Linked DNA regions of Pelodiscus sinensis. The protein of the gene in region 2 interacts with the protein of the main gene of each other region in a biochemical or structural test. Links are inferred from orthologs where the notes say so. Each region holds a gene or a part of one and is shown on either strand. Other genes may lie near its edges.

Region 1 (7,818 bases), on a different chromosome or scaffold from region 2:
TTAGCCTGACTGGGGGCAGGAGGAGCATGCAAAGTTTCCTCCGGCTTACCCTTGCCCTGGGAGGCGCACACGGCACTTAGAAATGCTGTGCACTCTTGGCAGGGCAGGAGGAGGCTTTGCATGCTAGCTACTGTTTAATATCGGCCTTTGCTTGCGTCTCCCCAGCCACTTCTGCTCAGTCAGTATGCAGGCATGAAGTCTCATAACGGTTCACAGAATCTGCTGCTGTGATTCCTTGAATTGTAGTCCTCTCCTTGAAAGCCATTTTAATTATAATTTTGCTCCTTTGCAAATGTTCTTTCTCTTACTTATTACTCTGTGCAATGCATGTCACTGTCCTATTTGTTTTTATTTTTCTAGCTAATGCTCCAAAACATTTAAGTAAATAGTAGTTACTTATTCTAGCAATTCTTTCTGTGATTCCCTTATAGCAGTGTTTCTCAAACATTTAATAAAGTGCCCCTTTAAAAAAAAACAAAAAACTAAGTACCTCAAGTACCTACAGTTTTCAGACACACAATTTTCTTGCTACCATTGGAACACATTTGTTTAAACAACTTAATTGTAGCCAGGCAGGTGATGAAATTTTTGGGTGTAAAAAGTACAAAAATAATAAAGTGCTGTAAAACTTAAAACAAAAAATCAGTTTCTCCCACTGTGCTGACATACCCCCCCAGCCTCTCTCAAGTACCCCTAAGGGTACTCGTACCACTGGTTGAGAAACGGTCTTATAGCACTGGCTACCTTTTTATTGTTATGGAAGCATGTTCTTGGTGAACGAGGGCATATCATCCAACCTGTCAGCCTAACGAAAAAACCTTTCCACTGCTTGAACCAAAGCCGATCAGAAGGCATATGGGAAGACGCACCTAAACCCCTCTGAAAGCTCCCTTAGTATACATGTGTGTCACTCCATGAGTATACAGAATGGAGAAGACTCTGTAACACACAAGGCAGGGAAGCACTGCTGCATGGGAAATCCCTGCTCCAGAAGCTAATGACCCCTCACCTACATACACGCAGATGGGTGATTATCAGACCATTTTGTTATATCGTTTGGCGTTCCACAGTTTAGGAAGAAATCACTAGAAACACAGAGAACTTAAACAGTTGCAAGGGTCCATTTTATTTCATAACACAGAACTAGCTAGAACCAGCCCAAACCGGCGGGGCTAACCCCATGTGACCTAACTCAGTTACTATAACAAGATCTATATCTACAACCCCATACACAACACCTTCCACCTCTTTCAACAGGGCAACTCAGCATTGGCACTCCAACCATGTGGGGAAGGGGCTCCGAGGCTTGGTGCCCTGTCACATTATTGGATTTTAAAGTGAGCAGAAAGATCACTGTTGCACCATGGGTGGTGTTTGCCCCAAATTCTGTACAAAGTGGGCCATGTGAGGTGTCAAAAGCTTATACGAGTCTGCTGATTCTATGTATGCTACTCATCTACTTCTATGGTGTTTGTATGTGAAGTTATAAATATGGGCTCTGTACTTGTACTGTAAATAATTTCTGTCTCAGAGGGAGCAAGGGGCCTGGCCTGCCTATTGTGAGGAATGATAGTTCAGTGAATGGCTGTGCTAATTAGCCACTGCTTCTTGGATAATGGCTCTCAGAGTGGCTGATAAACACCTGAAGAATATGTTTGGAAACCTGCAGTTCCAGCCAATGCCTCATGGCTGCTTGCACGTGAAGCTCAAATTTGGGCGACACCAGGAATATAAAAATCCCATGAAGGCATCTCTATCTTGTCTTCAATCTTGCTCCTGATTCCAGATGAATCCTTGCTAGGGACAGAGAGCCAGGAAGAATTGCTGACCCATCCTGACACAGGATGTACACCAGAGACTTTTAAGCTAGCAGTTTGTAACATCTCTCCTAAGAGCCTGCATCAAGAACTTGGTGATTGATGTATGTAAATCTTACACAACCTTTTCTTTCTTTTATTAATCTTTAGATTCTAAAGGATTGACTCGGCTTGCTCTTGTGGGTAAGATCTAAAGTGTAAATTGTCCTGGGACTGTGGCTGGTTCTTTGGGACTAGGAGGATCTGTTCTGAGTGGGTGAGATCAGGTTTTATAACCTCTCACCTTGTGTGTAAGGTGCGGGGCTGATTGTGGCACAGGGAAAGCTGGAGTGCCTGAGGGGTTTTGCTTGTGAGGCTTCCTGCTGGCAAGACTGGTAGCTGAAGTGCTCTGTGTGACTGGTTTGTGGACTATTTGGGAAAGGTCTCCACTCGAGGGCTGTAAGTAGCCCTGGTTTTGAGCAATTCACCCTGAGCTGATGCCCTCAGTGGTGCCTAGACCAAGCCTGGTCCGTCACATACCCCCCCCTTCCCTGCATGGCTGGAGCAACAGTACCATCTTGTCCTGCTGTAGGGGAGAAGGGGGCCCTGAGCCTCATGGACTGGATCCAGGCAAGCTGCAGGCTGCATCCCGCAGCAGGGAAGCAGCTCTGTGAAGAGTTGCACAGGGAAGCTCCATCCCTACATTCACTTGCAAGCTACACCCCCGTTGCTCCTACTAGCCAGTAATTGCAGCCAGTGGGAGTAGTTTCCTATAAGCACAAAGCCATGCAGAATAGAGATGTAAGATTGTAACCATTTTAAGTTAACCAATAAACATCAGCTTACTGGTTTCCATTATGATTACATGCAATATCCTGGCTGCCAGCCCTGCTCCCAGGGAGCTGTCACCACGCGCTGTGGGCTCTGTAGTCTCTGAGGCTACATCTACACTACAGGCGTTTTGCACAAAAACTTCTTGCACAAGAGAACGTCCACACCTCAAAACACATCGCTTTTGCAATGCGCTTTTGTGCAAGAGAATGTCCACACTGCATGGACGCTCTTGCGCAAGAAAGCTCCAATAACCATTCACAGAATGGCCATCAGAGCACCTGTGCTTTTTCAGATAGGCTCTTTTTGCACAAAAAACCCCTGAGGAGCATCCACACATGCCTTTTTGTGCAACAGCTGTAGTGCAAAAAGGAGTTATGCCTTATATAAGGTTTACCTACACTGCAAAAAGCCCTATGTTCTGCCGTTTCACCGTTGATTTCCTTGCGCAAAAGCATGCTTGAGGTGTGGACGCTCTGCGGGTTTTTGCGCAAAAACCTTGTTGTGTAGATGTAGCAAGAGACCTTTTAACTATGTATAAGTATGTTTGCTGTTTGATGTGAAAACTAAAATGTTCCTGTTTGTGTCTTATAACAATAACAGTTTTATATTTTAAAAAACACCTCTCTATCATTGTGTCTGTGTGAGAAACTAATTATTCCTTCCTAAGTGGAATACTTTATATCTCTACTGCCTAAATTTCATCCTTTCTAGCTCAGATAATTTGCTATGTTTGAGTTCAGCAAGTTGGGTTGAGGATTGGCCCTTGAGTTTCAGCTCCCTGCTTTACCTCTGTTCTTGGGCGCTCTAGTCCTGCAACATCCGAGAGTCCTGGCCCACAGATGTTCAATCTGTAGTTTGTGAGATTTTTTTTTAAGATAACTTGATTTTTACCAATTTTGGAAATAGTACATAATACCCATTGTTTATGCCAAGCTGCAGATACAACAACACCACATTAGCAATTATAAGAACTAAGTCACAAACATAATATCAATTACAGCAGTGGTCTCCAACCTTTTTACACCCAAGTTTACTTTGTGTCAGATCAAGCCAAGATTTACCCCCTCTCCTTTCCCTGAGGCCCTGCCCACTCCATTTCTGCCCCCCCCCCCCCAATCACTTGCTGTCCTCAGCCCTTACTCAATTTCACTGGACTCTGGGGTAGGAATAAGGCAGTGAGAGATGTAAGCTCTGGGAGGGAATTTGGGTGGAGAAGGGGATGCTGGCTTGGGGAGGGGGTTCCAGGCTGGAGAGTATTGGGATCAAGTGGGATGCTGAGCAACTTTCAGGCCATGGAGAAAATGCCTGAATGCTTGTGGGAAGCAGGGTTTTGCATTTCCTCCGCCTCAGTGTATCCAGCCCACTGCAGGAAAAAGAAACCCAAATCAATTCTACAGGGAAACCAGCTCTGCTGAAGTTTTGAAAGGGACCCTGCATCGCCCCGCCCCCCAGCCTCGGGTCACCCTGCATCGCCCCGCCCCCCCAGCCTCGGGTCACCCTGCATCGCCCCGCCCCCCCAGCCTCGGGTCACTCTGCATCGCCCCGCCCCCCAGCCTCGGGTCACTCTGCATCGCCCCGCCCCCCAGCCTCGGGTCACTCTGCATCGCCCCGCCCCCCCAGCCTCGGGTCACCCTGCATCGCCCCGCCCCCCCAGCCTCGGGTCACCCTGCATCGCCCCGCCCCCCCCAGCCTCGGGTCACCCTGCATCGCCCCGCCCCCCCAGCCTCGGGTCACCCTGCATCGCCCCGCCCCCCCAGCCTCGGGTCACTCTGCATCGCCCCGCCCCCCAGCCTCGGGTCACTCTGCATCGCCCCGCCCCCCAGCCTCGGGTCACTCTGCATCGCCCCGCCCCCCCAGCCTCGGGTCACTCTGCATCGCCCCGCCCCCCAGCCTCGGGTCACCCTGCATCGCCCCGCCCCCCCAGCCTCGGGTCACCCTGCATCGCCCCGCCCCCCCCAGCCTCGGGTCACCCTGCATCGCCCCGCCCCCCCAGCCTCGGGTCACCCTGCATCGCCCCGCCCCCCCAGCCTCGGGTCACTCTGCATCGCCCCGCCCCCCAGCCTCGGGTCACTCTGCATCGCCCCGCCCCCCAGCCTCGGGTCACTCTGCATCGCCCCGCCCCCCCAGCCTCGGGTCACTCTGCATCGCCCCGCCCCCCAGCCTCGGGTCACTCTGCATCGCCCCGCCCCCCCAGCCTCGGAAGGGAAAGCGGCAGCCCCGGCTCAGGGTCCCCCTACTCCTCTGGGGGCCCAGCCCCCCTGCAGCAGGGCCAGGGGGTTGGCGGGAGCAGCTGCCTCTGGCCCCGCTTCTACTTCCTGCTCCAGGCTCCACCCGCCAGCCTGAGGCCCGGCCAGTCACGGGGCTAGCAGCCTCCCACGCGGCGCAGCTACGTGCCTGCTCCCCGCAGAGCTGCGTGCTGTTCCACGCAACAACGGCTGGTACCTGCTCGCCGGGGGGCTCGTTCCGGGAGCCGCGGCGCTCCCCCATAAGTCAGTGGCGGTTGAGGCGGTTGGCCGGCGGGGCTCCGCGAAGTACGCTGCGCGCGCTCCCCCCCGGCTCCCGGGGCGTGACAGCTACAAGGGGGAGGAGTCTGGGGGGGGGGGGCAACCGCCCTTTTGGCCCCGCCCTCTTTCCCACGGAGGTGGGGCATAAGTACGTCAGCGGCCCCGGCGATCGCGTTTCCATTGGGGGCAGCGCAGGCCCCGCCCTCTCGAGAGGCTGCGCGTCCTAGGATGAGCCTGGCGCCCGCCGGCTCGCGCTGCTGCTGCCCGGCCTTGGCGTGCGCCGTGAGTCGTGGGGCGGGGCGGAGAGGGGCTCGCGGAGGTGTCCTGCGGCCGGGAGAGCCCGGGGGGGGGGGGATCGGAGCTCGAGGCAGCTACAACTTCCGGGAGCGCGGGGAAGGCCAGGAGCCGCTTTGCAAAGCTGCTGGGTCCAGCGCCGGGCAGAGGCCCCTCTGAGCCCCCCCCGCTAAGTCCTCTGCAGCGCCCTAGCCCCCGTGGGAAGCCCCCGTGCTTAGCCTCCTGGCTGTTGCGGGCGGGGTGCGCGCGGCGGGCTGTGCTCCCCGAAAGGGCGTGCGGAGCTGCAGGTTTGCATAATGCGGGGTGGCTGAGCAATGCCCGCTTCTTCTTGCCTAGTTATTGTTCGCGGGCGTTGCAGACTGTCTGCTATGAATCAGCTGGAGGTAAAGAAGAGCAAGGTCCTGGAAGCCAAATTTGTGGCTGATGAAGATGTCCTGAAGCACATTGCTGATAACGGAGGTATTGCTGTTTTACCTGTAAACAGACATCTTATTTTGCGGATATTGAAATGGGTACAAGTTCAGGATTGTCAAAATGATTGGTAGCTTCTGGGTGCCCAGCAGTAAGCATCTTGGAGGAGTCTGCTCAGATAGTGAGTGCATAACACTTCTTACTAATGAGGCCGCTGTAAAGGCATTTTGTGTTTGGTATGTGAAAACCAAGGCACCTAAAATCACTAGTTGCTCCTGAAAATTTTGAATCTTAACAACCTGTATATTCCCAAAGGCTGTAGTGTCATGTAAGTGCCTCCTTTTTAAAAATTTGACTTGGGATTTCTTTTGATGGTGTTCTGTGTGCTTTTGACTTTGAATCTCTCTGGACAAGCACATTTGTGGGACTCACATCCTGATACCTGCAGCTCTGCAGTGGCAGTTACATTTCAGAATTTCACTGATGTAATTACTGGAGTGGCTATTGGTATGAAGTCTGGAAGTAACTATGAAACAAAAGTCATGTTAAAGTTTTACTTGCAAACCCGAATCAGTTCCAAGTTACAGTTGGCTGTTGGAACAGGTGCTGTCTTGAGTGCCACTGTGGCTTGGCTTAACTTGGTAAAAGAAGCAGAGACATATAAAAAGAGATTTTTTTAAAAAGTGGACATGAAATCCTAGTGAAGAAAATAAAAAGTAGCATAAACTTTGTCAAATTAAGTGCAAAAAATATAAGAAAAGCCAAAAAGGAGTTTGAAGAACAGCTAGCCAAAAACTCAAAAATGTTTTATAAGTACATCAGAAGCAGGAAGCCAGCTAAACTACCAGTGGGGCCCTTGGATGATTGAGATGCTGAAAGAGGGCATTCAAAGATGATAAAGTGATAGTGGCAAAACTAAATTAATTCTTTTCTTCAGTCTTCACGGCTGAGGATATTGGGCAGATTCCCAAACCTGAGCCATTCTTTTTAGGTGACAAATCTGAGTAATTGTCCCAGATTGAGGTGTCATTAGAGGAGGTTTTGGAACAAATTGATAAATTTACCAGTAACAAGTCACTGGGACCAGATTGCATTCACCCAAGAGGTCTGAAAGAACTCAAATGGGAAATTGCAGAACTGTTAACAGTGGTTTATAACCTATCCTTTAAATCAGCTTCTGTACCTAATGATTGGAAGATAGCTAACGTGACACCAATATTTAAAAAGGGCTCTAGAAGTGATCCTGGCAATTACAGATCAGTAAGTCTAACATCGGTACTGGGCAAATTAGTTGAAACTACAGCAAAGAATAAAATTCAGACTTATGGATGAATGTAATTTGTTGGGGGAAAGTCAATGTGGTTTTGGTAAAGGGAAATCATGCCTTACTAATCTGCTACAGTTCTTTTGAGGGGGTCAGCAAACATGTGGACAAGGGGATCCAGTGGATATAGTATACTTAGATTTCCAGAAAGCCTTTGACAAGGTCCCTCACCAAAGGCTCGTAAGTAAAGTGAGTTATCATGGGATAAGACAACTTTCATGGATTGATAACTGATTAAAAGACAGGAAACAAAGAGTAGGAATAAATGGTAAGTTTTCCAAGTAGAGAGAGGTAACTAGTGGGGTCCCCCAAGGGTCTCTCCTGGGACCCATCATATTCAACCTATTTATAAATGATCTAGAGAAAGGGGTAAACAGTGAAGTGGCAACATTTGCAGATGATGCCAAACTGTTCAAGATAGTTAAGACCAAAGCAGACTGTGAAGAGCTTCAAAAGGACCTCACAAAACTAAGTGACTGCGCATCAAAATGGCAAATTAAATTTAACGATAATAGATGTAAAGTAATGCACATTGGGGAAAAAATAATTCCAACTACATATGCAATAACATGGGGACTAATTTGGCTAAAACTATTCAAGAGAGAGATCTTGGAGTCATTGTGGATAGTTCTCTGGAAACATCCACTCAGTATGC
Region 2 (7,974 bases):
CAGGCTGGTTACCTTGATGAGGGGCAGAGGGATGCCGCTGACGGAGGACGAGTCCATGAATTTCTTCAGGTCCTGGTGCAGGAACTCGAAGACCAGGTAGAGCTTGTTCTCGGTGTGGATCACGTCCAGCAGCCTGGTGAGAGGAAGGAGAAGACGTCACGGCTTCTGCCCTGATTAGAGGGCTGGGGGCATTCGCACTCTGTGCCCCATGCCCCTCTCGGCCTCTGCTGGGGCTGCCAACCATGGAAGTGGGCAGCACCAGCGTGACAAGCTTGCGTGCTGGGGAGCCGGGCCAAGACCAGCCATGTCTCACAGATGACGGCCACATGAAAGTCACGGATCTGGGTGCTCCCTCCCCCCCCTCCCGGGGGGATGAGGGCTCTGGATCCCAGCAGCCCAGCCACCCTCCTGAGATGTCAATAACACGCCCTCCCCCACTTACTTGACGATGTTGGTGTGGTTCAGCTCCTTGAGCAGGGAGATCTCCCGGATGGCCGTGCTGGGGACACCCTCCGTCTCTCTGCAGTGGGGGGGGAAGCCATGAGGAGCCTGACAAGCTCCATTCTGGGGCTCCATTCGGCCCCGCTCTAGTGACCTCACACCAGGCAGCCTAACGACTCTGTCCCAGCTCAGACCTGCCCTGCAGCCCACACAAGTGCCAACTGAGGGCAGCAGTGACAAGCCAAAAGCCCTTTACCCCGATGTACCACCATGGAAACTCAGCCACCTCTGGGGTAGAAGCAACAGCGAAGAGAGGGGGCAGCTTAGGACACAGGGAAGCAACTTCTGCTCCCCCTCGGGATCCTTAACATCGGTCCAGAGCCAACAAGGCCCTGCTTGGACTCCTGCCCCAATCACATCTGGACCAAACCAGCTGTCTGGGTCGGAACCTGGGAGCCCAGGGCTCTCCAAAGGCACTGCCCTGAGCGCTGCCCATCCACTCCCAGAAAGAAACTGACGTGCTCACGCCAGGGGCCAGAGCACCAGCTGCTGGACAGGGCACCAGCTGCAACATGCAGCAGAGCAGCCCTGGCCTGGGATACAGCCAGGCCCAACCCCATTGACCGAACAACGGCCAGTGACAGAGCATCTGCCACAACCCTTGGGCGCTCGTTCCAGTGGCGAATGACCCTCGTTGTTACAAACGTGGGCTTTATTTCCCAGACCAACTCGACCTCCAACTTCCTGCCACTGCATCTCTTAGACCTTTGTCCGCAAGACTGACAAGGCAGTGGCCAAATTCTGATTCCCCAGGTAGGGGCTCTTAGACCAAGGGCAGTCAAGGCCCAGGCTCCAGGGAACCCTTTTTCACACAGCGATGTATTGAGAGAGTTTGAGAGTCTGTCTGTTCAAGGACTCCTCCTAAATGCTGAGAGCTAGGACCACCAAGGTCAGTAGGCAGCTTCCTCTTATCATAACTTAAAGCCAGGTCAGGGGTTGTGCCAGGGAAATGGGATGTGTCTGGAATGGGACTGCTTCTCAGAAAACCGTACAAAAAAGTCAGCCACCAGGCAGGGGAAAGGGGTTGCCCCCCATGGGACTGCCCCAGCCCTGAGCCTCTCGCCTCCCACCCCCCAGGTACCCTTTAGGAAGGGAACTCCCCCCCCCCACACAATTCGTACGGGAACATTGCTGGCTGTTCCTCTTCATCAGGTAGCAAGGGGAAAATGCACCATTTGCTGCATTCCTCACTCTGGCTAGGGGGCGCAGGGGGCAGACAAACCTGGATCTGCCCCGGACGAGGGACAAGCACAATAATTAGGACCTGAGCAGCACCAGGTAAGTCTTCCAGCAATAAATAACGAATAAGTAAAGACAAAGATTTTGTGGCCTATTCAGAAACACCTGGTGGCCTGGACTTGGCTCGCGGTCCAACCTGTTGACTAGGCCGGTGACTGCTTACCCTGCTCCTTGTGAGGCTAAACGCTCGGACCTCCCTGAGTCTGTCCCTCCAAGGCGGGTTTTCCAATCCATTCATCATGCCCCTGGCATCTCCGAACCTCACCAAGAGACCCACACCCCTTGTAGGGTGGACACCAGCCCCAGATTCAGACTTAATTCTGAGAATGGCTGTTAAGCACAGCTACAGGCAAAGCCTAAGGAGTGTGGGTCTGAGTCTCTCCCCCCCGCCCCGTGACCTTTGTCAGGGCACCAGTGAAGAGTATGGGGCAGAACTCCCCCACTCACCAGAAATGGGGCTGTAGAAATGGTGGAGGGATGCAATTCCTGCTGCACCCATCACCCCACGGGTTCAGCTGGGTGGACTTAGCCCAGGGAGAACAGGAGCTGGGAATTGCTGGGAAGCCTCCAGCGCTCCCATGGAGAGGGTATGGGGTGCCCCCCCCCCAACACCAGCAGGGCTGGAACAAGTTTTATGGGGGGGGGGGGCGCTGAGAACCTCTGACCCCAACTGTAACGCCTGGATATAACGGAAACCACTTTAAGTGGGGGGGGGGAGCGCTGCAGCAGCCCCGCACCCCTACTTGTAACGCCCATGCCCAGTCCTAGTGCTCAGACCGCCCCACCTTGGCTGCACGTGGACTCAAGCCAAGTGCCCACTGACAGCCCGTCCCGCAAGGACCGGGGGGGGGGGGGGCTTTCTCCGCCAGATCTGCAGGCCCCGGGGCACCGCACTTCCCCCGGGGCGGTGTCCTGCAGAAGGCCCCGAGCCGGCCGGGGAGGTGCCGACTCCTCCCCCCAAAGCTGGAGCTACCCCATGAACGGGTGGGGGGGGGTACGGCCCCTTCGCGGGGGGGGACTCACGTATCCAGGCGGATCTTCTTCAGCGCCACCACCTCGCCCGTGGCTTTGTTCTTGGCCTTGTAGACAACCCCGTAGGTGCCCTCGCCGATCTTCTCCACCTTCTGGAAGTTCTCCATGGGGCCGGCCCCGGATCGGGCCCGGGTGCCGGGGATCGGGCCCGGCAGCGCGTTCCGCGTCCCCCGGCGGTTACCAGCCCACCCCCCAACTGGCTACAATGTAACCCCCGGCCCGGCTGCTTCCCGCGTTCCACTCGCCCCGCCCCACCCGCCGCGCCATTGGCTGGCGCCCGGAGGGAGGGGAGGAGCGCGCTGGAGGCGACGCGGGAGTCTCCTTAAAGGGACAGGCCCGGAGGCAGGAGCAGCCCTCCCCGCTTGTAGGGGCGGCCGGAGCCAGGGTGCCCCTAAGCCCTAGGACCCCCCCATGGGTGTCAGTGAGGGAGCCAGGCCAAAGGCTGCTCCCAGCTCCGTGTATTATTGGGGTGATTTCCCCAGTTCCCCTGCTGGATTCCTTGAGCCCCCTGAGCTGTGTCTAGGGGGATGCACCCTGTGCCCCTCCCCTAAGGAGACTCCCCCATTATTTAACTCCATGTGCCCCCCCTCCCAGGGGACTTGTCCTCTCTCCTGTCCCTCCTGCAGAGGCTCTGGCTGGGTCTCTATGAAGGGGACTCCAAGGGTTGGATTCCCATCGATTCCTTTATTATTTCAGTTCACGTGCCCCGGCTCGGGACCCTGTTTCTACACTGCCTAGGAAGCCAGGGCTGGGTTCTGCCCTGAGGACCTCGCTGGGAACCAGGACTTTCAGCTTCCTTTGAAACCACTATGAGCCAGCTCCTGAAAAGCATGGAGGCTCCAAGCTTCCTTGGAGGTTCTGCACCCACGGCCTCCTCTGCAGTGGGATTTTCAACCCTAGCAGCCAGCCAGCCACGTGACCCCCTTGCCTGGCCTGCCAGAGCCGTACTGAGCAGGGCAGCACGACAAAGCTGTGCCGCTGGTTGGTGAGATGCTCCTGACTTGAGCAGGGCCTAGAAGCACCTGCTCTGGGAACTTCAATCGGGCAGACAAAAGAGCCGGCCGTGGGAGGCCGCGGAGTTCCTGGGGAACTTGTTTTGTCCTACACTTTGTGAGCCTGCGTGCTATTCGGAGTGATGAGCTCATGTGTGTCTTGGTGATACGCTGCGCTTGCTGCCTGCCGGGGCTCAGCTCCTGAACGGGCACCCAGGGGGTTGCTGGTGTGAGGCAGGTTTATTGTTTGAATGGGCTCTCTTCATTTCCCTGAGCCCAGGGTCTCCTCACCAAAGGGTTCCAGGTTCACCAGTTCCAGGTGCCTGCCCAGCTCTCCCCCTCTGTGCAGTACACGCTCCGAGAAAGTCCATCATTATGGAGCTATGCACGAACCCTGGTTATCTCAAATGGAAATTCCTGACCACTTCAGTCCAAACACAGGGGTTTAGGTAAACAATCAAACCCACGTATTAACTACAGGAAGATCGATTTGAAGTGATGACAAAGGAATAAGGCATGAAAGTCAGAATTGGTTACAAAGAAATAAATGATAAAACACAAACTAATACTTTACTTAGTTAGGTGAACTAAGAGCAGCTGGATTTCTGTCACCATATTTTAACAGCAGTCTGGCTGGATTCCTTCCACCAGGACCCCTCTCCAGTTCACCGACACTTCCTTTGTCTTTGAAATATTGTTGAAACCCCCAGTACAGATGAAGAGAAAGATGTGATCGGGGTGGGGCCTCTGTTCCCCATTTTCCTCCTCTTTGAGAATCATCCCCAGCTGGGGTTCAAGTGTCAGCCAGCCTGTTCCTCTGTCAAGCCGTGAATTTCTTGTTCGCACCCTTCTTGCTAAAGAAGGGCTGCCTAACCAGGGAACAGTCCAGTTGGTTTTGCTGACTCCTGGCAGAAGCATCAGTTTGCCTTTTACTTACTGAAGAATTTATTTGTGCTTCTTCCCCGATTGGAAATACACCCGTAGTAACATCATCCAATGGAATCTTATAACTTTACATACAATGTGGCCACACCTATTTTAACAGGACAATAATGATCAGTGAATTATGGATTTTCAGATGATCACTCACAAGGCATATTTTGCACAAAATTTGTCAAGGGCTAATAAAAGTGGTAAACATAAGGGCACAAGGGAAACATGGGTTTATTAAACAGGATTTTGCTGATATGTCTAGTGTTTGGGGGGGAAGCGATGCAGCAATCACTTTCTTAGCAGGCTAATATCCTGAACACATGGGCCCAGATCTGCAAAGGAATTTAGGCACTTAACTCCCATTAAAATCATTGGAAGTTTGGCTTCTAAATTCCAATAACTCCTGGGAATTCTCTCTCCCAGTTTGTTCCTTTTATTTAAGGGACACAGACAGAGTGAGAATGATACATCTAGAAAACAAATTCCCTCCCCGGTGCTACTAATATCCTTTGCACCGCACATAATTAACGTGCGGAACTCACTGCTGCATGGTCTTGCCACAGCCAAGAGCTTACTGGGCTTCAGAACAGGATTTGGCATTCGTTCTGCTGCCCCTTTTGCTGAGCAGTAGCAGATTCTGGGGCCTTCCAGGTCAGTTTCTGGTCTGGAGCAGCCATGGGTGATGCTGTCAGGTATCTCCTTAGTGTGGCTTGTCTGTTTATGATGGGTACAAAGTTCCGGTTCCTTTGAACCGAGGTGGGAGCAGGCAGCAGCTTCCTGTGCAAACAGGGTGACAGCACATGCAGCTGTGCCTCTCATGCAGCTGTCTCCTGTGCCTTGCTTCAGGGAACCACAGAAAATCCCACAACAGCTTGATGCCACTGTTCCCAACTCCTCCTTTGGGGGCCATTCGCCACGCCCCAGCTCCCTGCGGTGCTGCCAGCTCTACTCATGGTGCTCTGTATGGGAGGAAAATAGGCTAGTCAACGTCCCGTTAGCCCCTTGTCAATTACTGGATCGCCCCAGGTTGCAATGAGCAATGCCATTTTGATTGGAACGTAGTGATTCACAGCAATCGCTCTAAGCCAGGCCTGTCCTGAACAAAACCTGGAAAATCAGGGGTCCCTTGATTTACATGCCCTTGTTCTACTACTGGCACCCCACAGAGCCAGGTAATCCAGCTTGTCTTTCCTTCCCATTCACAAGCTAACCGAGCACGCAGGAGTTGCACCGGTTTCATATACAGTGGTTTGAGAGTGGATTTAGTAACACCAGCCACCTCCCCCTCCCACTCCGTATGCATCTCAGTTAGTGATTTACTACACGGTCGATCAGCGTAGCTCACATCTACAAACACAGACACATGCTAAACCACTAGAAGGTGGCAGAGGGGTAGCCATGTTAGTCTTTAATATTAAAAACAATGAATAATCCTGTGGCACCTTAGGGTGTGTCTACACTGCACCCATACCTTGAAAGGGCATAATTTATTTCGAGGTAATTTCAAAATAGCTTATTTTGAAATTTGGCACCAACTACAGATCGCCAAATTTTGAAATAAAGCGTTACTCCGACAAGTCCCTTAACCCTCGTGGAATGAGAATAGCATGACCGTTATTTCGAAATAACGGGCGCGTTTAAAGACTCAGAATAGCTATTTTGGGACACTTCCAGTATCCCGAAATAGCGCCAATGTCTAGACATGGCCTTAGAGATTAACAAAATATACATAGTTTCATTAGCTTTTGTGGGCAAAACCCACTTCATCAGATGAGCTGGAGAGGGATAACAGAAACTCAGAATTCATAAGTTCTAGTGTTCTATGATTCTATAACAGAAAAAAAAAGGAAACACTTTATAAGGTGGGTTTAAATCCAGTTTCAAGAGTGTCCACAGACAAAGTTGCATGGGTTTAATTGGACTGGCTTTAAATCACCCCTTAAATTAATCAGGTGAAGTCTGTATGTTCACCGGGTCTAAGTCACTCGTGTTATAGAATGTTCCACTGGAAGGCATCTCCAATTTGATCAAACTAGTTAGCTTTTTTGCTCCACTCCTGCTGTCGGAAGGCTGTCTCGGGCCATCAAGGAGCTACATGTGACCTGCAAACACTGGATAGGACCTATGGTGGAGGAATCTACCTATCCGGTCTCTGCTATTTCAGGTGGAAAAGCAGGAAGTTGACAACTATGGAATTGGCTGCTCACAAAAGACATTTCTGCCTTGCCCCTACGAACAAGAGACTGGATCATGTTGAGAGCCCTGTGGGTTTATGGGTCTGATCCAACCCCCGCTGAAGTCAATGGAAAGTTTCCTTCGTGTGCCTACTTGGTCTATTTCAATTGTAAACTCTTTTGGGGGTGTGTGTGTGGCAGCTGTCTCTTGTACAGCATCTGGTACAGTGGGGCCCTGTTCTCAGCCGGGCTAACATCATACATACAACCGGACTGTATACCCATCCGCTTCTTTCTTTGTTTACAGCTGCTAAGTGCTTGGTTTCAGTATCTTGCAGCAGTGAGCTCCCTTGGTCAGTTTTCCGTGTGCTGCACCTCTCCTGTCTCCTGCCTGGGGAGAGGGTGGCTAGAAGCTCCGGCCTGCCAAGTGCTAAGTGGCACCTGCTTTGCTCAGCATCGAAGTGGCTTGTCCTTTCGCCCCCCAACCCAGCAGTGAGGTCGTATCATGGGTTCTGCGTCCCTCCTGCAGCTCCGTGGTAATTAGGCCCTTTCTTCTCAGAGCGGAAACCGGCCTCTGTTCTTCCCCACTGAAATTCCAGGGTCTGTCTGGAAGGCACAACTCATGCGGCCCCATTGTGCTCGAAACACAAACTTGTGACTGGCCATCACCCACACACCCCACTGCTGGAGGGAGGGGGGATGAGATTTTCATGAGGTCATGCCAGGAAAGGGGCGGGGCTAGGCAAATGAGGCCTCCTTCTTATACAGGGTGGCCGGGGTGCTTGGCTTCTTTCTGCCTTCGCGGAGGGGTCCCAGGGAGCGCGGGGCAGGTTGGGAGATGCAGACAAGCTGGTACTTGGTGGCAGCCTGGGCGCTTCTGGCTGCGGCGACAGCTCAGCACAGTGAGTAGGGTCCTGATCCTTGGGCTTGGGGGGTGGGGGGCTGGGTTCTGTAGGGTCCCATCTGACCCACCCCCAGCCAATTCAGGGTCAATCCCTGTTGCAAAACACTGGGGCTGCTGCCAACAACCCCCCAGCATCTCCACTAAAGTCCAGGGGCTTCTCATCAGCCTGCGGGGGGGGCACATTTCTCGGGGGGGGGTA
Region 3 (7,696 bases), on a different chromosome or scaffold from region 2:
GTGCAAGCTCTGGGAGGAAATTTGGATGCAGGAGGAGGTGGAGAAGGGGATGCTGGTTTGGGGAGGAGGCTTCAGGCTGGGGAGTGTTGGGGTCAGATGGAGGGTTGTGGTACTAAGCAAGCCACAGGCTTGTGGCTGTGAGGGTGCAGGAATTCGGGTTGGGGTATGTGAGAGGTTCAGGGCAGGGGGTTTCAGTGTATGATAGGCTCAGAACTAGGGCCTGGGGGGGGGGTGCAGGAGTGTTATAATGCTGCAGCCAGATGGGGGCTTGGTCCCAACTGGGGGTTTGTTGGCCAGGCTTAATTTTTTAAAAAAATACTACGTCAAACACAAAAAGTTTCTGCATTGTCTTTATTTATGAGAAGGGCAGGGAACCTGTTTTGCGTCGGGGGTCACTGACCCACAGAAAAGTTAGTTGGGGCCACACGAGATGAAAAAAAACCACACCCACACACCACACCACACCTCCTGCCAAAAACCCCCGAAGCCTCACTAATGTGGCCCCAACTGTGCTGGTGAGAGCAGGGGACATGGTACTGGGGAAGGGTACTAGTGGTTGCTGGGGTGGGGGCAGGGTTCTGCAGCAGGGCACAGGGTACCAGTGGGAGCAGGGGGACAGCGTGCCAGGGTGGAGGCAAGGTGCCAGTGGGGAACAGGAGAGAGGGGACAGGGTTCTGCAGCACGGGACAGGGTGCAAGTGGGGGCAGGGAGTCCCTGGCACCAGCCTCTTCCCAGGACCCTCCTCCTGCAGAGGAGAGAAATCCCCGCTCGTGCCTTCTCCGGGGCCAACTCCCCTTCCTGAAGAGGAGGGAAGCCCCCACAGCTGCAGGACTTCTGTCCACCCCACAGAAAGCAGGCACTACCTCCATTTTTGCTGGAGGTAGGTAGTGGGGCTTCTTGGGGGAGGAGGGTGGCCCGAACACCTCACGATCGACTGGTCAAGCCCTCGCAATCGATTGACCAGTTGGTGACCACGGTTGAGTACAGACTAACTCAGCTACCCCCTGAAGCTATCAATTAGAGCGTCCATGCTAAATGAGACTAACAGGGTGATTTTGCCTTCATTAGGAAAAGGCTAGGTCCTTGAGTTCACACATCGTAAGGGGAGAGACTCCACACGCCCCCCCCCTTCCCTTTATGGTGCAACCACTAACATCACCATTATTAAAAACCAACAAATAGTCTTTAAAGTGCTACTAGTAGACTAACAAAGCATGTAGATGGTATTATGAGCTTTCATGGACACAACCCACTTCTTCAGATGACCAGAGTGCTGGAAGTCCAGGTCCAAGAATAAATAAGGGAAGGAAGGAGAAGGAAAAAAAGTTGAAGGGGAGGAAGAAAAAAAGACAGCGAGCAGATAGTCAGCTATCCCTCTGAAGGTTAAGTCTGTAATAGGAAAAACTTAAAAAACAACAAACAGTATACAGGCAGTCCCCGGGTTACGAACAAGATAGGGACTGTAGGTTTGTTCTTAAATTGAATCTGTATGTAAGTCGGAACTGGCATCCAGATTCAGCCACTGCTGAAACTGACCAGCGGCTGACTACAGGAAGCCCGAGGCAGAGTTGCTCTGCCCCGGGCTTCCTGGAATCAGCCTTTGATCAGTCTCAACAGGCTGAATCTGGACGCCAGTTCCTACTTACAGATTCAACTTAAGAACCCCAGGCATCCCCAAGTCAGCTGCTGCTGAAACTGATCAGAGGCTGATTCCAGGAAGCCCGGGGCAGAGCAACTCTGCCTCGGGCTTCCTGTAGTCAGCGCTGGTCAGTTTCAGCAGCGGCTGACTTGGGGACCGCCTGGGGCAGAGCAGCTGGGGTGCTGCCGGGTTGGTCCAGTAGCGCCCAGAGTGGTGCTGCGGGACCAACCGGCAGCGCCCCAGCTGCTCTACCACAGGCGTCCGGAGAAAAGCCGGGTCTGCTGGGGGGGGGGGGGGCGTACTAGCTGCGCCCCTCCCTCCCCCCACAGAAGACCAGGGAAACGCGGGCGGCGGACCGAGAAGCTGCCTGGGTCCTCCGCGTCTCCCTGGTCTGCTGGACACCAGCAGACCAGGGAGACGGGGAGCAAACCCCGTTCGTAACTGCGGATCCGACATAAGTCGGATCCGCGTAACTCGGGGACTGCCTGTAGTAGCATCTTAGGCTACGTCTAGACTGCAAGCCTCTTTTGAAAGAGGCTTTTTCGAAAGATACTTTCGAAGTTAAGCTCCAATCCGTCTCTGTGCATTAGGCTTGTGGAATTGGTCTGAAACAAAACAGCCACTGGGGGATCCCTCCCTCCATCCCTTATTTAGTCTTGGAGCTGGACTTCCAACTCTCCAGTCACCTGAAGTGGGCTGGGACCAGGAACGCTCAGAATACCAGCGGCACCTTTCCTTAGTCTTCCAAGTGCTACCGGACTGCTCGCTGTTGTTTACGTTTTTCCTGTTGCAGACTCACTCTGCTCCCTCCTGGAGCTGATCCCCGTTCCCATCATGATCACCCGGGGCAGAGCCGCAGGACCCCGGCACAGGGCTACGGAGCCTTTCCCCCCGCTGGGAGGCGGGTCCCGGCGGCAACCACAAAGGAGGCGAGTCCCCCCCCCTCGCAACTAGGGCTTGGCGTCCGCCCCTCCCCCTCGGCCGCCCCGCCCGTCACCGTGGCCGCCCCTCACCTCCAGGGTGTAGTTGCGCCTCATGCTCTGGTAGCTGAGCCAGGCCTCGGCCCGGGCGCGCTCGTCCATGTTGAGGCTGTTGCAGAGATCCTCGTAACGCTGCCGGACGCCCCACTCCTCCGCCGGGGGGGAGGAGGCGGCGCCCCCGACCCCCGCTTCGGCCTCCTCGTCCTCTTCGCCCGGCATCCCCTACCCCGTCGCTAGAGGGCAACGCCAGCCTGCCGCGCACTGCGCCTGCGCCGCCCCAGACCAACCACCCCGGGACCGAGTTCCGCCCCAACCCTGGACTGCCATTGGTCCCCCAAGGAGCCGCCGCCAATCAGCGGGCGCTTTTCCGGCAGGCGCAGAACGCTTCGCTCTACGCAGCCGCCGGCGACGGCGTCTCAGCGACCTATCGCGGCAAGACGTGCCCGCCGCCCCGGCCCACAGTTAGCCAGCAAAAACTACCACCCCCAGGAGGCATTGCGGTGGCTCTGGCTCGCCGGGGCCTGACGCGTAGGCCAGGTGGTAGCGGCGCGCGCAGCGCTGTGAAGGAGGCCGGCCGCCTCTAGGCGGCAGGCTGGTTCCGCAGCTCCTCGCTGCCTGGTCCCAGCATGGAGCCCCGCCCTGAAATAGCGCTGCGGGGAGGCGCGTGAAACAATGGCCACGTGGCGGCCGCGCTGCCTTTCGCATTCGGTCCGGGGGGGGCTGCGATTCTGCACCGTGACACGTCACAGAGCTAGGCCGGGGCAGCGGCAGTTCCCAGCCAGCTTGTCTGGCCGGGGTGCAGCCGCGTGCAGGCAGGGGTGCAGCCGCCCCACTTGGTTTCCGCACATGCAGAGTTACATTCCGATTCAGTGGCTCTCCGCACCGGTGAAGAAGCGATGGGACAGGACCTGGAGGAAATGTTACTTGCACCGCTGCTGCTCATTGGTTACCCCTCATGATTACACACAACCCCCCAGCTTTGTGTAGGGCACAGGAGCCAATGCCCCTGGAAGGTTCCAGTCTACTGCCTAGGTTAGAAGGCAACAAATGAAACATTCCCATTGTGGTGGTAGCCAACGCTGGGCTCCACGGTATTTGTGAATGTAAGGGGAGATGTGATCTGTCGGGGAAGGGGAAAGGGCAATACTCAGCATCTAACCCGAGCAATGAGAGCACAGTGAGGAGAAGTGCACATCAGACTTCGACAGTTTTATGAAAGGTGTCCCTGCCATTAGTGTGTCTGCCTGTAATACTCCCTCTCCTCTTTCCAACACAAGCCATAAGCAGACTACCCATTAAGAAATTAATGCCTTTTTATTTAGGGAACATAGCAGGGACAGAAAAGAAGGCCAGAGCAGGAACTGAAGGATGTGAATGCGTACAGGGGCAACCCATGGACCTAGGCAATTGCCTAGGGCACCATGGGTCCAGGCGCCTGATGATGTCATGATTACATCACAGCCATTGACAGCCATGCAGGCACAGGTGCCGATCGCACCTTCCGCCTAGGGCACCAGCTGCCACAGTGAGCTTCGGACCGCTTCTGAATGTGTATGATCACAATTGCAAGGACAGCCTTTTGTTTCAAGACATATCCCTCAGGGTCGAGTGTGAGTGACTCCCACACTCTGTTCTAGGGCCATAGGAGAGGAAGCTATGAAAATCTCTGAGGAGGGAATGTTGTTCTGCAAGGGCTGGAGAGGGTGCCTGTTCATGTAGGCATTCTGGAAAGCTGCCATGGGGTCCATCACAACCACCACACACATCAAGATGATCCTGGTTCCTCACTTCCAGTTACCTGCATGTTCTCCTGTCCTCATGTTCCATGTACATCTCCTTCAGCAGCGTATTCCTCCTTTTGCTTAAGCACTCCCTCTTCAATTTGGCGGACTGCACTTGTTCCTTGAACAAGCCATTCCTAGTCTGTTTTCGCCTGCAGATTTGTAACAGCTTGATAGCTCTGTGGGGCCAGCGGAGTTAGCAGCAGGCTCACAGCTGTTCCTGCTGTAATGAAAAGTGGAGAGCAGCCCTAATAGGAGATACATTGTAGGCATAAAACCTAATGTGTCAGAATGAAAGGAAGTGGCCACAAAGTAAATCCATTACTGTAGCTCTTTTCACCAAGAATAGATGGGGGAAATTAAACAATCCTTTCAAACTTATGTATCAATACAATTTAAGACTGAAAATCAGGGAAAGTGAAGCCAACATTTTAAGCCTTTGTTGTAAAAAATTTTAACTGTGTCTGTTTGGTCTCCTCATATTCGAACAAGTTGATTTGAGTTTTTGTTTTAAACACTTTTCTGCTATAACCGCTCAAAATTGTCCAAACCTTTTCAATTTACGGTCCTGATCCTGCAGATCCTCAGCTGGTGTTAATTGCAATCATTCAGTGGATTTCAGTTGAGCTGTAGCAGTTTACACAAGTTGAAGATCAGGGTCTGTGAACCTGTAGTGATTGGGATTACTCATACAATGCAGAAAGTGAAGTACACTCATTCTTTGCACGGTTATGGCCTAAATGTTCAGGAGGACTAAGAAGGACCCACTGGAAATTACCCTGTAACTATTTACAAAAATAATAAATACAACCTCCTGAATTAGAAAGATAAAATCACTTAAAACAGATAAAATTATTATTTTAAACATGGCACAGTCTTCATAGCTAGCTTTGTGCCAGGGCAATTGTTTTATAGATTTCTGCTCAATAAAAAACAATTATGAAATATTTTTATCACAATGTTTGGTGATAAATATATTAATTGATTTAAAATAGTGATAATTTCCACTGAAAAGTCTCCCTTAAAAGTTAATCTGCTAATATGCACAAAGCTCAGTTGTGCAAAATAAGATCAATACACAACTTAAACATTAACTCATTGTATCCCTCTAACTCACTGCTCAGAGCCATCTCAGGCCTTGTCTACACAAAATTTTCAGTCACCAATACTACTGAACTGGTGTAACCCCTAATGTAGACACTAATTATGCCAATGGAGTTCTGGTCCATGTTTACAGCTCCCAGATGCTATAGCAGTCCACATAATACTAGACTTTTCACCCTGGAAAGTGCTCTGAGAAAGAGAAACATGATATTTCTTACAAGACGACCAGGGTTGCAGGGAACTTTGGGAGACAACATATGGGTTTTTACATACATCACATTGTTCACTTCCTGAAACAGCTGAACTTCTTTGAATGCAGTAGTCTCAAAGTGAATTGTTCCTGACAAAGTGGCATTCTAAAACCAAAATCAAGTATGTCCATTACTGTAGACCAAGCAGTGCGCCCATAATTTTACAGACAATTCTATCAGAATTTGCAGGCCCATATGCAGGAATTTCTGGGTGGGTGTGCTTTTTCATAAATTTAGACTGCAAAGATGTGACCGCATCTCCCCCACCCTGGTCTCCCAAGTAAGCTGGAAATCAGCCTCAGCCTTCCCCTGGCCGACTAGAGGATGTGGGAGGGAGGCTGGGACAGGGCACCTCTCCTGCCTTTCCCCAGTTAACTGGAGCATGTTTACTTGGGGAACCATGGTGGTGGTGGTGGTGGCTGGGGGGGGGGGGGTTGCACCCTTCGTATTCTCCTTGTGCACAAGCTTGATTTGTGTGGCAAAGTAGTAAGGCAGAACAAAAATCCTTCATACATGTTACTGTCATGCTGCCTTGTGACCCAATTTTATGTTACCTACTGCCAGGTGAGTGATCTAGTTGACACTGCAGCAACCTTACTATATAAACCAAATGGCTGGCAATCTTGAGCACCAAGGCAATGATCTCAAAACCTTTACACTGGCAGATGACTGAATCCACTCTGGTCATTTGGGTAGGGAGAGAATAAATATAGGGGCAGATTTTTGAAGTAATGGCTACTAAGTTGCCATCTACCTTGGAGACTAAGTAGTATTTCTTAAAGGATACAGGGTACTTATTAGTCATATCTTGATCCAGGTTAGGTTAGTCCAGGGTAGGCAATAAGACAACAGTGGTTCACCAGGATAAGCCCCTGGCGGGGTACCGCTGCTATATTTACTGGTGCCTCCACAGGTACCGCTGCTTATCCCCTTTCAAAGCTGAGAGATATCTGACAGCTGAGTAAGCTGCTCTGTTTGGGGAACAAAGAACAAATCATTGGAATGTTGTTTTGTCCTGCATTGGGAACACAGTAGCAGGCAGCCTGCTGGTGTGAGGGCAAGGGTATAGACGCTGTTCTGCTTTGACATTTCTCAGCATGGAGGGCTCACAAAGCTACTCATCATGCTGCTCCCAGCAGCTGAGGCTGTGGGAGAACTCAGAGGGAAACCCAAGATGTTCACAGATCAGCTCTGCCTTCCCACTACATAGGTGATGATGGTGTCCCCAAAGTGGACATGATCTGTTGACCAAGGGAGCAAGTGTGAACACCCTCTGGTGATTTTTGTTTTGATGACTTTTGGGTGTCGACATAAGTGTAGGCATACCATTTGAGATCGGGCCAGGGAGCGAGAAGGGGACCCATGCTCCGAAGAGGCCTGAGTTGTCTGCTGAACAAACCAGGGAGAGGCCACTGGCATCAATGTTCTGGGCCTGTTTTTCTTAGGTCCAGGAGACTTGCCCTTGCCTTACCTAGTGAGCGGTGCCAGTTAGCGGTGCCATCAGGCCAGCAGTGCTTGGTGCCGAATCTGAATGCTCATGCATCGGAGCTAAGGTGGACTCCATTACAGAAGACTTCAGATGAATATGTCTGCCTGGTGCAAGGCTTGAAGGACTTGCAAATGTGGCATATATCACTTCTATGAGCTTCCGCTAAGCACTGCAAATGGTCGCAGTGAGTGTCACTCACTAGCATGGGCTGATTCCAGCTGTGACACAACTTGAAGCCAGGGAATAGGTCCCTATGGAACCTGCACTATTTAGAACAGTAAACGAGCAATAGAAACTATTTACAAGGAAAAGCAAGTTCAGCTAGGGAAATGCTCACACTGAGATGAGCAGGTTCCAAGCACCGTCACTGTCAGCAAGAAGAAACTGAGGGTAGAGAGGACTGGAGGTGCCCTTTGTGGTAGACACATGCCGCATAATTAATTCTGTGAGGT
Region 4 (7,170 bases), on a different chromosome or scaffold from region 2:
CCTTCCACAGGGAGGATGGACAAGAACACCACTTGTGCTTCAAATTCCTTGATCCTTCTTCCCAGTGCTACATAATCTGCAGTGACCCTCTCAGGGTCGTTCTTGGCCGTATCGTTTGTTCCTACATGGAGAAGCAGGAAGGGGTAGCAATCGGAAGGTTTGATCAGTTTTGAAAGACACTCAGTCACATCCTGAATTCAAGCTCCTGGAAAGCAGCACACTTTGAGATTCCAGATCTCAGCAGATGGATGACTCAGTCCCTCTTAGGAGGGAGTCCCCAACCACCACCACTTTTCTTCTTTTGGGGAGGGGGGTTGTGGACCCCCCCATCCCTAGGACTACACATCCCATTCCTTCCAGTAGATGGTGTTCCCTTCTGATTTCTTCCCTGAGAGGTCCCTGCCAAAGCATTCTCCACCGTAGTGCCTGTGCAGAGAGCCTGAAAGCAGTTACTTACCTCTACAGGAATGGGAGACACCTGAGTTGGCCTTCTTCTCCAGGAGATTACATGCTGCCAGTTCTCTTCCTTGTCCTGTACTACCCTGACTGGCTCTTCAGCCTGCTGTGCCTGCAGGGTTAAATGCTGCCTTCTATCGAGGAAATCTTCATCCTCTGACAGAACGTAGGGTTGATACTTGAGCCTCAAGTCCTCTAATTTTTTCTTCCAAAACGGCGACCAGCTTGCACTTAGTGCAGATGAAATCATTTCTGTCTTCTGGGAGGAAGACAAACATGGCACATGTGGTGCAGGTAGCAGCAGACCCATCACCATCTCACCGCCTTCTTTCTGAGAGATTTCTCACATGTTTTTAAATGCCCCTTTGAAGGGCAGAAGAGAAAAAAATTCAAGGAAAAGACCAAACACTATGGGTCTCTCCTCAGGGTGAACTCTCAGGCAAACTACCCTGTTGGCCACTCTGGTTGCCTTCTTATAAAGCTGATGGTAGGTCTGTCTCAAAGCCTTGCCTCTAATCCAATCAGACCTGAAGGCACTGGCCACTGTCAGCAGACAGGATACCGGGCTGGATGGACCTTTGGGCTGAGCCAGTACGACTGTTCTTATGTAATATCTGTATACATAGATAAGTTGTAGTTTGATCTGTGGAAGAAATTCAGTTAATCTATGTTCTTACTGCCATATTCTTTGTGGTTTCTGTAATCGTTATTCCTGTGGCAATAAAATTGATTTTCATTGCATTTCCTAATCTGAAGTGTGACTGTCAATCGTCTGCAAACCCTTATGAGGGGGAATCTTTTGGTTCTACCCACTTGTAACCTGGGATAGAGAAGATCGACTTAGAATCTCTGGTCAGATTGGCGAGCCTTACCCAACTAAATTCCACTATATCTCCTCCCCAGGCTACAATATGTACAACCACTTTCCTGAACAATGGGAATTCTGAGCAGGGAAGGAGCCTAGGAGAAGGGAAGTGTCTTATTCTGTGAGCCATGCACTTCATCCATCCTTCATCCCAGGGATTCTCAACATTGTTCTATTTGATGCCCCCCAACATGCTATTAAGAATTCTAGGGTCCAGCAGAGTTAGGGCGACTTCTCAGGGCAGGGACCTTGGGTGTAGGCATAGTTTGACTTCTATTTTGAGGGCATCAGGGCCAGCAGTGGTTGATCCAGCTCTGTACAGTGGGACAGTTGTGCAGGAACATTTTAAAAAGTGAGCGTGGTGAGCCCCTTACCACTGTCCAGCTGGCATGTGGGGCTGGGAGTGCTGTAGCACTCCCTATACCCCAACTTCCCATGCCTATGCAGTGGGGTCCACAGAAAGAAGCCACCTTCACCCCAATTCACCTCAGCAAGTCAGCCTGGCTGGGTTGGGGGGAGCACAAGCAGAAATAATTTAAATGTGGTGGGCACAGTGCAAAAAGTTTGAAAACAGCTTAGAGTGCAGAGAGGGAGCAGCTAGGGACTATGTGCTGACAGGGGGTATCTCAGGATGCAGGGAGGAGTGGTGGCTAGGAGATGTATACAGAGAGGAGCTGGCTTAAGGTGCAGGAAGAGGGTACTATGGGCTGTGTGCTGGAAGGTGTCCCCTGCAGTCCCTGTTCCCAGAAGGGCCTGCCAACCATGGAACTGCATCTCTCCACTTGGGTGGCTCTTACCTGCTGCCTTTGTGGGTGCAAAGGGGGCTGGAAACTAAGGAGCAGATTCAGTCTGGGGCACCAGCAGAAGACGAGGGACAACGGCTGCTTCCTGCTCTGTGGCACTGGCCAGAGCAGCCGCTATCCTGCATTGCCTGGCTCTAGCTTTCTGCATCCAACCTAGCGGGAGGGCAGCAGGGAAACAAGTGGGGAGATGTACTGGAGACAGGTTCTTACACTACTATTTCAGGATACAAGAGGGGACAATGTCCTCCATATCTCCAACTCTGTTCCAGAAATTGGCCAGAGCAGCCGCTATCCTGCATTGCCATTTTGCACAAGGGGCTTTTGCACTGCTCCTTCTTGCGCAAAAACCCCCTCTTGTGCAAGAGCCGTTCTGCCTGAAAATAAGCAGCAGAACAGCTCTTGCACAAGAGGTGGCTTTTGCGCAAGAAGGAGCAGTGTAGACTGCTCCTTCTTGCGCAAAAGCCCCTTGTGCAAAAATAGTGGCTCATTAAGTATGCAAATGAGGCATGCCTCATTTGCATATGTTCTTTCACAAGTCTGGCCAATGTAGACATACCCTTGCTGTTTTCCAGCACAAATTGCTCATTCTTATGCCCTTGATCTCACTATATTAAACATGCTTATGCTGGAAGCCATAGAAATAATCCTAAATCGAGACATCTGGCAGTTCCCTTGCCAATTCTGCCACAGCACATCTAGCCATACAATGAGGCTGCACAGGGAGCTGCCACAGCACAGCAACATCAGGCCCAACATGAGCCAGGGAGACCCCATTTGGAGGGTTGCAAGCAGCTCCCTTGTCTCTTTGCCCCGTTAATTACATGCATTTTATCTCTAAGGATACAGTCAAATGTCTGTTAACTGTAGACAGACAACACATTTCCACCCACCTGTTTTTATCACATACAGATGCTGTTCCAGAGGTAGGCTCTTCACATCCCAGAACAAGAGGTTCGTGAAATAGAGAACTGCATGTCAATTACAGAAGAAAAATCAATTCTCCACCTTAGACAGAGTTTGCAAACCTTCCCTACAAGGCAGTGAGCTCAGTGATCCTACTACTCCTCGGCCGGAAGAACACACTAACTTCTGAAAAGCCAGTGCTTAGGCCAGGGACAGACCTCTCTTCTGCAGGTTGAGCTAGCTAAAAACTGAGCTTCCAAGAACAATTCCAAACCAAGGGCAGCAGTCACTGCCTGTGAAGGCAGCCAAAGGGCTCTGCGTAACAGAGTCTCCAAATGCCTGGAGAGGATGATCAGCCAAGTGAGACACAGGCTAGAAGCGTTATGCACAAGAAGTCATGCTAACAAGGTGCCAAGCACGCCCTGCTCCTGCACTTCTGGTCCTGAATAAGCCCGGAGTGCCGCCAGCGGGCAGCAAGGCCAGCTCCATCACCTAGGCCCAGATGCTTTCCTTCCTCAGGGACACTGCAGCAAGGGCCCCAGCCATGCACCAGCCCCTAACTGGAAAGCCACTGGCCCAGAAGGCGGGAGCCCGGGTGCCCTCTGCTCCTTCCCGTCCCTGTGCACCAGGCGCAGACACACCCAGCGGCGGCTTCGCTCCGTGGCCGTGCCCGAGCCCCGCAAGCGCCCAGCTCCCAGGGACCGCGGGGGCGGGTCCCCCAGCTCGGTCAGGGCAGCGCCGGCCCCACGTGGACCGGGAACCCTCCCAACGGGGCGCTGACTGACAGGGGAACAGCGCGAGCGCGGCCCACGCGCCCCACCTGCAGGCCAGCGGCTCCCAACCGCCCAGCGCGTGAGACTCTGGCAGCATGAGAGGCAAGCGGTGGGGGTGTATGCAGCACTACGTCACAACCAAGCAAAACCTTCCCCATTCGATAGGCCGGCCTCGCCTCACTGATATCTACGGCCGCAACCCCAGCAACCACGTGCTCCCGGGGACGGTGATTGGCCTCACAGAGCCACAGATGGGCGGAACCCCTTCGAGCGTCCAATAGAAAACGTTCCGTCCGCTTCTCCCCGAATAGGTGCGCACCTCGCTCGAGTCACGCGGATTTACCCAATCAGAGAGCGGCGATTTTGTTTGGGAGGGGGGCATCCTTCAGTCGTTCTGATTGGTCACGATCGGCACCAATCTCTGTGATTGGCTGGGCTCAGGCGGCAGGTTTAAGTTCCGAGTATTCTATTTTCATTCAAGTCTGTGGGCTCGGGACCTGGAGCTAGAGGGGGTGAGGCCAAGACCTGAGAGCAGCGGGCGGGAGGCCCCGGGGATGGGCGCGGGACGCTGAGAGCAGCGGGCGGGAGGCCCCGGGGATGGGCCCGGGAGGCTGAGAGCAGCGGGCGGGAGGCCCCGGGGATGGGCCCGGGAGGCTGAGAGCAGCGGGCGGGAGGCCCCGGGGATGGGCACGGGAGGCCGAGAGCAGCGGGCGGGAGGCCCCGGGGATGGGCACGGGAGGCTGAGAGCAGCGGGCGGGAGGCCCCGGGGATGGGCCCGGGAGGCTGAGAGCAGCGGGCGGGAGGCCCCGGGGATGGGCACGGGAGCCCGAGAGCAGCGGGCGGGAGGCCCCGGGGATGGGCACGGGAGCCCGAGAGCAGCGGGCGGGAGGCCCCGGGGATGGGCACGGGAGGCCGAGAGCAGCGGGCGGGAGGCCCCGGGGATGGGCACGGGAGGCCGAGAGCGGCGGGCGGGAGGCCCCGGGGATGGGCCCGGGAGGCTGAGAGCAGCGGGCGGGAGGCCCCGGGGATGGGCCCGGGAGGCCGAGAGCAGCGGGCGGGAGGCCCCGGGATGGGCACGGGAGGCCGAGAGCAGCGGGCGGGAGGCCCCGGGGATGGGCACGGGAGGCTGAGAGCAGCGGGCGGGAGGCCCCGGGGATGGGCCCGGGAGGCCGAGAGCAGCGGGCGGGAGGCCCCGGGATGGGCACGGGAGGCCGAGAGCAGCGGGCGGGAGGCCCCGGGGATGGGCACGGGAGGCTGAGAGCAGCGGGCGGGAGGCCCCGGGGATGGGCCCGGGAGGCCGAGAGCAGCGGGCGGGAGGCCCCGGGATGGGCACGGGAGGCCGAGAGCAGCGGGCGGGAGGCCCCGGGGATGGGCACGGGACGCTGAGAGCAGCGGGCGGGAGGCCCCGGGGATGGGCACGGGAGGCTGCCGCGGGTGACTCGGTTCGCGTTGCTCCTAGGTGGCGGCTCCGCGGGCCGCAGCGCCATGGCCGGGAATATCTCCCCTGCGGGACCCGGCAGCCCCCGTTCCCGTCTGGGTTTCCGAGCCAGATGCAGGATGGTGCTGAACTTGCTGAGGGACACGGAGGTCTCTCTGCCCTTCACCCCGGAGCTGCCCCGCACCCCGGTCACGGACCTCGCTCGAGGCTTTAGGAACCTCAGCACCTTGGCAGGGTAAATCCCATCGTGGCCACCTCCTCCAGGAAGAGGCCCCCCTCGGGTACTGGCAGTAGGTGGGGAAAGTCTGCCTGGTAGTGGGATGAGGAATAGCCCCAGGCACAAGGCTCCGATAGCCACCCTGCCAGCCAACGCTGTAGTAGGAGGAGAGGGGCTGGGCCATTCACAAGCTTGGCTTGTTCTGGGCTGATTTCTTTGCACCCAGGCTGCCCAGCAGGCAGAGACCTAATAGTGCGTCTGTTCTCCCTTTAGCATAGCAGCCCTGGTGGTGCAGGTAGCATGGAAGATGAAGCTGGGATGAAAGTCAGTCTCCTTGCTCAGCGTGAACCAGGGTGCACGTCAACTGGTGCTGCTACAAGGGCTGGGGCAGCAGCTTGCTCTTGAGGGGTGGGGTGATTGAGACATTGAGGTCTGAATTTAGGACAGTGGTCTCTGCCCTTTTGAAGCACAAGATCACTTTTTGAAGTGCAGGGTTTAACTCAAACCCAAATATCCCCGCCCTGCCCCTTCTCCAAGGCCCTGCCCTTGACCCACCCCTTTGCCAAGGCCCTGCCCTCCTCACTCTGAGGATGGGGTACAGGGGAGGGGGACAGAGTGACATCAGCACCCCCTGCCTCTGACTCCCCCACCCTGCACAACAAGCAGGAGGCTCCCAGGGGGCAGCTCTGAGGGTCTGGGCAGGGAGAGGCAAGGCAGTGTGGGGAGGGGCAGCCAAACCAGTCAGGATCACCTGTCAGAGGCTCCTGTCTATAAGACTCTGTCCCTGCTTTTGCAAGGAATTCTGAGCGGGCTTTTCATTAAAAAAAAAAAAAATCAAAAGTCTTTTGGTGTAAATAGCATGGCCACTAGAGATGTTAAATGTCGGTTACCTGAATAGCCAATTAACCTCATGAATTCTTATCAGTTACTTGACTATTCTATAGTCCCTGGGGGTGAGGCAGGGGCTGGCAGCCAGCGTGCTCTGGCCCTGCTCCTCAGAGGCCCCTGCCACCACTGTATCAGAGGCAGGAGCGCGGGGTGCCAGGCAGGAGCTAGTCTGCAAAGGGAGCCAGTTCAAAAACCAGTTCCCCTCACAGACCTGCTGCCTGTCACCCCACACTGCTGCCTCTGATACAGAGGCAGCAGCACTGCGTGGCAGCAGCCCCTATCCAGGGGCTGAGCTCCCAGACCTGGCACAAGCCAGGACTGAGCTGGGCTGCCAGCCTGCTTGGCTCCTAATACATTTGAAATGCAGAGCCGCAGTGGGGTAGGTCCCAGACCTGACGCAAGCCAAGACTGAGCTGGGCTGCTGGCTGGCCTGCTAAAAGTACTGGCAAGGGGGGAATGCGTGTAGTCTATAGCATTAATTTATAAGCTTTTGCTTATTGGTTAATCGACTACACTATTACATCCCTAATGGCCGCTAAACTTCTCGGGGGGGCCTGAGGAGCCATCTCTGACTGAAAGGAGCCATCTTTTTATAAAAGTGCCCTTAAGAGCTCCCAAAGTGGCTGACAGAGCTAATGTTTTGATGGGGGTGGATAATCTTATGGTTCTGGTGGCTCTAAGCGGGGGCATGATGCAGAAGAGAGTTCTGACAGAGATCCTCCTTTTGAGTCCAGTCTTCCATCAATCAGCATGTGAACATCCTGGTAATTGTCACCAATATTTCCATCCTGATGCTTTGGGTTTTGATGTGTTGTTGCAGGAATACG

The links.
Region 1: the proteins of CDK2 (region 2) and ORC2 form a complex in vitro, tested with the Homo sapiens proteins (2 studies listed by BioGRID and IntAct, with this or other methods). The link is inferred for Pelodiscus sinensis from reciprocal best matches to the Homo sapiens genes CDK2 and ORC2.
Region 3: the proteins of CDK2 (region 2) and RBL2 form a complex in vitro, tested with the Homo sapiens proteins (3 studies listed by BioGRID, with this or other methods). The link is inferred for Pelodiscus sinensis from reciprocal best matches to the Homo sapiens genes CDK2 and RBL2.
Region 4: of the proteins of CDK2 (region 2) and CDC25C, one has a biochemical effect on the other in vitro, tested with the Homo sapiens proteins (3 studies listed by BioGRID). The link is inferred for Pelodiscus sinensis from reciprocal best matches to the Homo sapiens genes CDK2 and CDC25C.

The regions. Positions count from the first base shown.
Region 1 is NC_134717.1:73,602,635-73,610,452, reverse strand, and holds the start of ORC2 (origin recognition complex subunit 2), read left to right. Parts: upstream 1-4,817; 5' UTR 4,818-5,068; intron 5,069-5,072; exon of another isoform or gene 5,073-5,228; intron 5,229-5,270; exon of another isoform or gene 5,271-5,416; intron 5,417-5,764; 5' UTR 5,765-5,796; coding exon 5,797-5,887; intron 5,888-7,818. UniProt on the Homo sapiens protein: Component of the origin recognition complex (ORC) that binds origins of replication. DNA-binding is ATP-dependent. The specific DNA sequences that define origins of replication have not been identified yet.
Region 2 is NC_134729.1:4,334,148-4,342,121, forward strand, and holds the start of CDK2 (cyclin-dependent kinase 2), read right to left. Parts: upstream 3,016-7,974; 5' UTR 2,880-3,015; coding exon 2,764-2,879; intron 521-2,763; coding exon 443-520; intron 134-442; coding exon 13-133; intron 1-12. Other genes in the region: melanocyte protein PMEL, read left to right, coding at 7,710-7,773. UniProt on the Homo sapiens protein: Serine/threonine-protein kinase involved in the control of the cell cycle; essential for meiosis, but dispensable for mitosis. Phosphorylates CABLES1, CTNNB1, CDK2AP2, ERCC6, NBN, USP37, p53/TP53, NPM1, CDK7, RB1, BRCA2, MYC, NPAT, EZH2.
Region 3 is NC_134722.1:33,781,289-33,788,984, reverse strand, and holds the start of RBL2 (retinoblastoma-like protein 2), read right to left. Parts: upstream 3,005-7,696; 5' UTR 2,839-3,004; coding exon 2,653-2,838; intron 1-2,652. UniProt on the Homo sapiens protein: Key regulator of entry into cell division. Directly involved in heterochromatin formation by maintaining overall chromatin structure and, in particular, that of constitutive heterochromatin by stabilizing histone methylation.
Region 4 is NW_027465994.1:524,198-531,367, forward strand, and holds the start of CDC25C (M-phase inducer phosphatase 3), read left to right. Parts: upstream 1-4,170; 5' UTR 4,171-4,312; intron 4,313-5,259; 5' UTR 5,260-5,285; coding exon 5,286-5,473; intron 5,474-7,163; coding exon 7,164-7,170. Other genes in the region: oocyte-specific histone RNA stem-loop-binding protein 2, read right to left, coding at 3,015-3,092. UniProt on the Homo sapiens protein: Functions as a dosage-dependent inducer in mitotic control. Tyrosine protein phosphatase required for progression of the cell cycle. When phosphorylated, highly effective in activating G2 cells into prophase.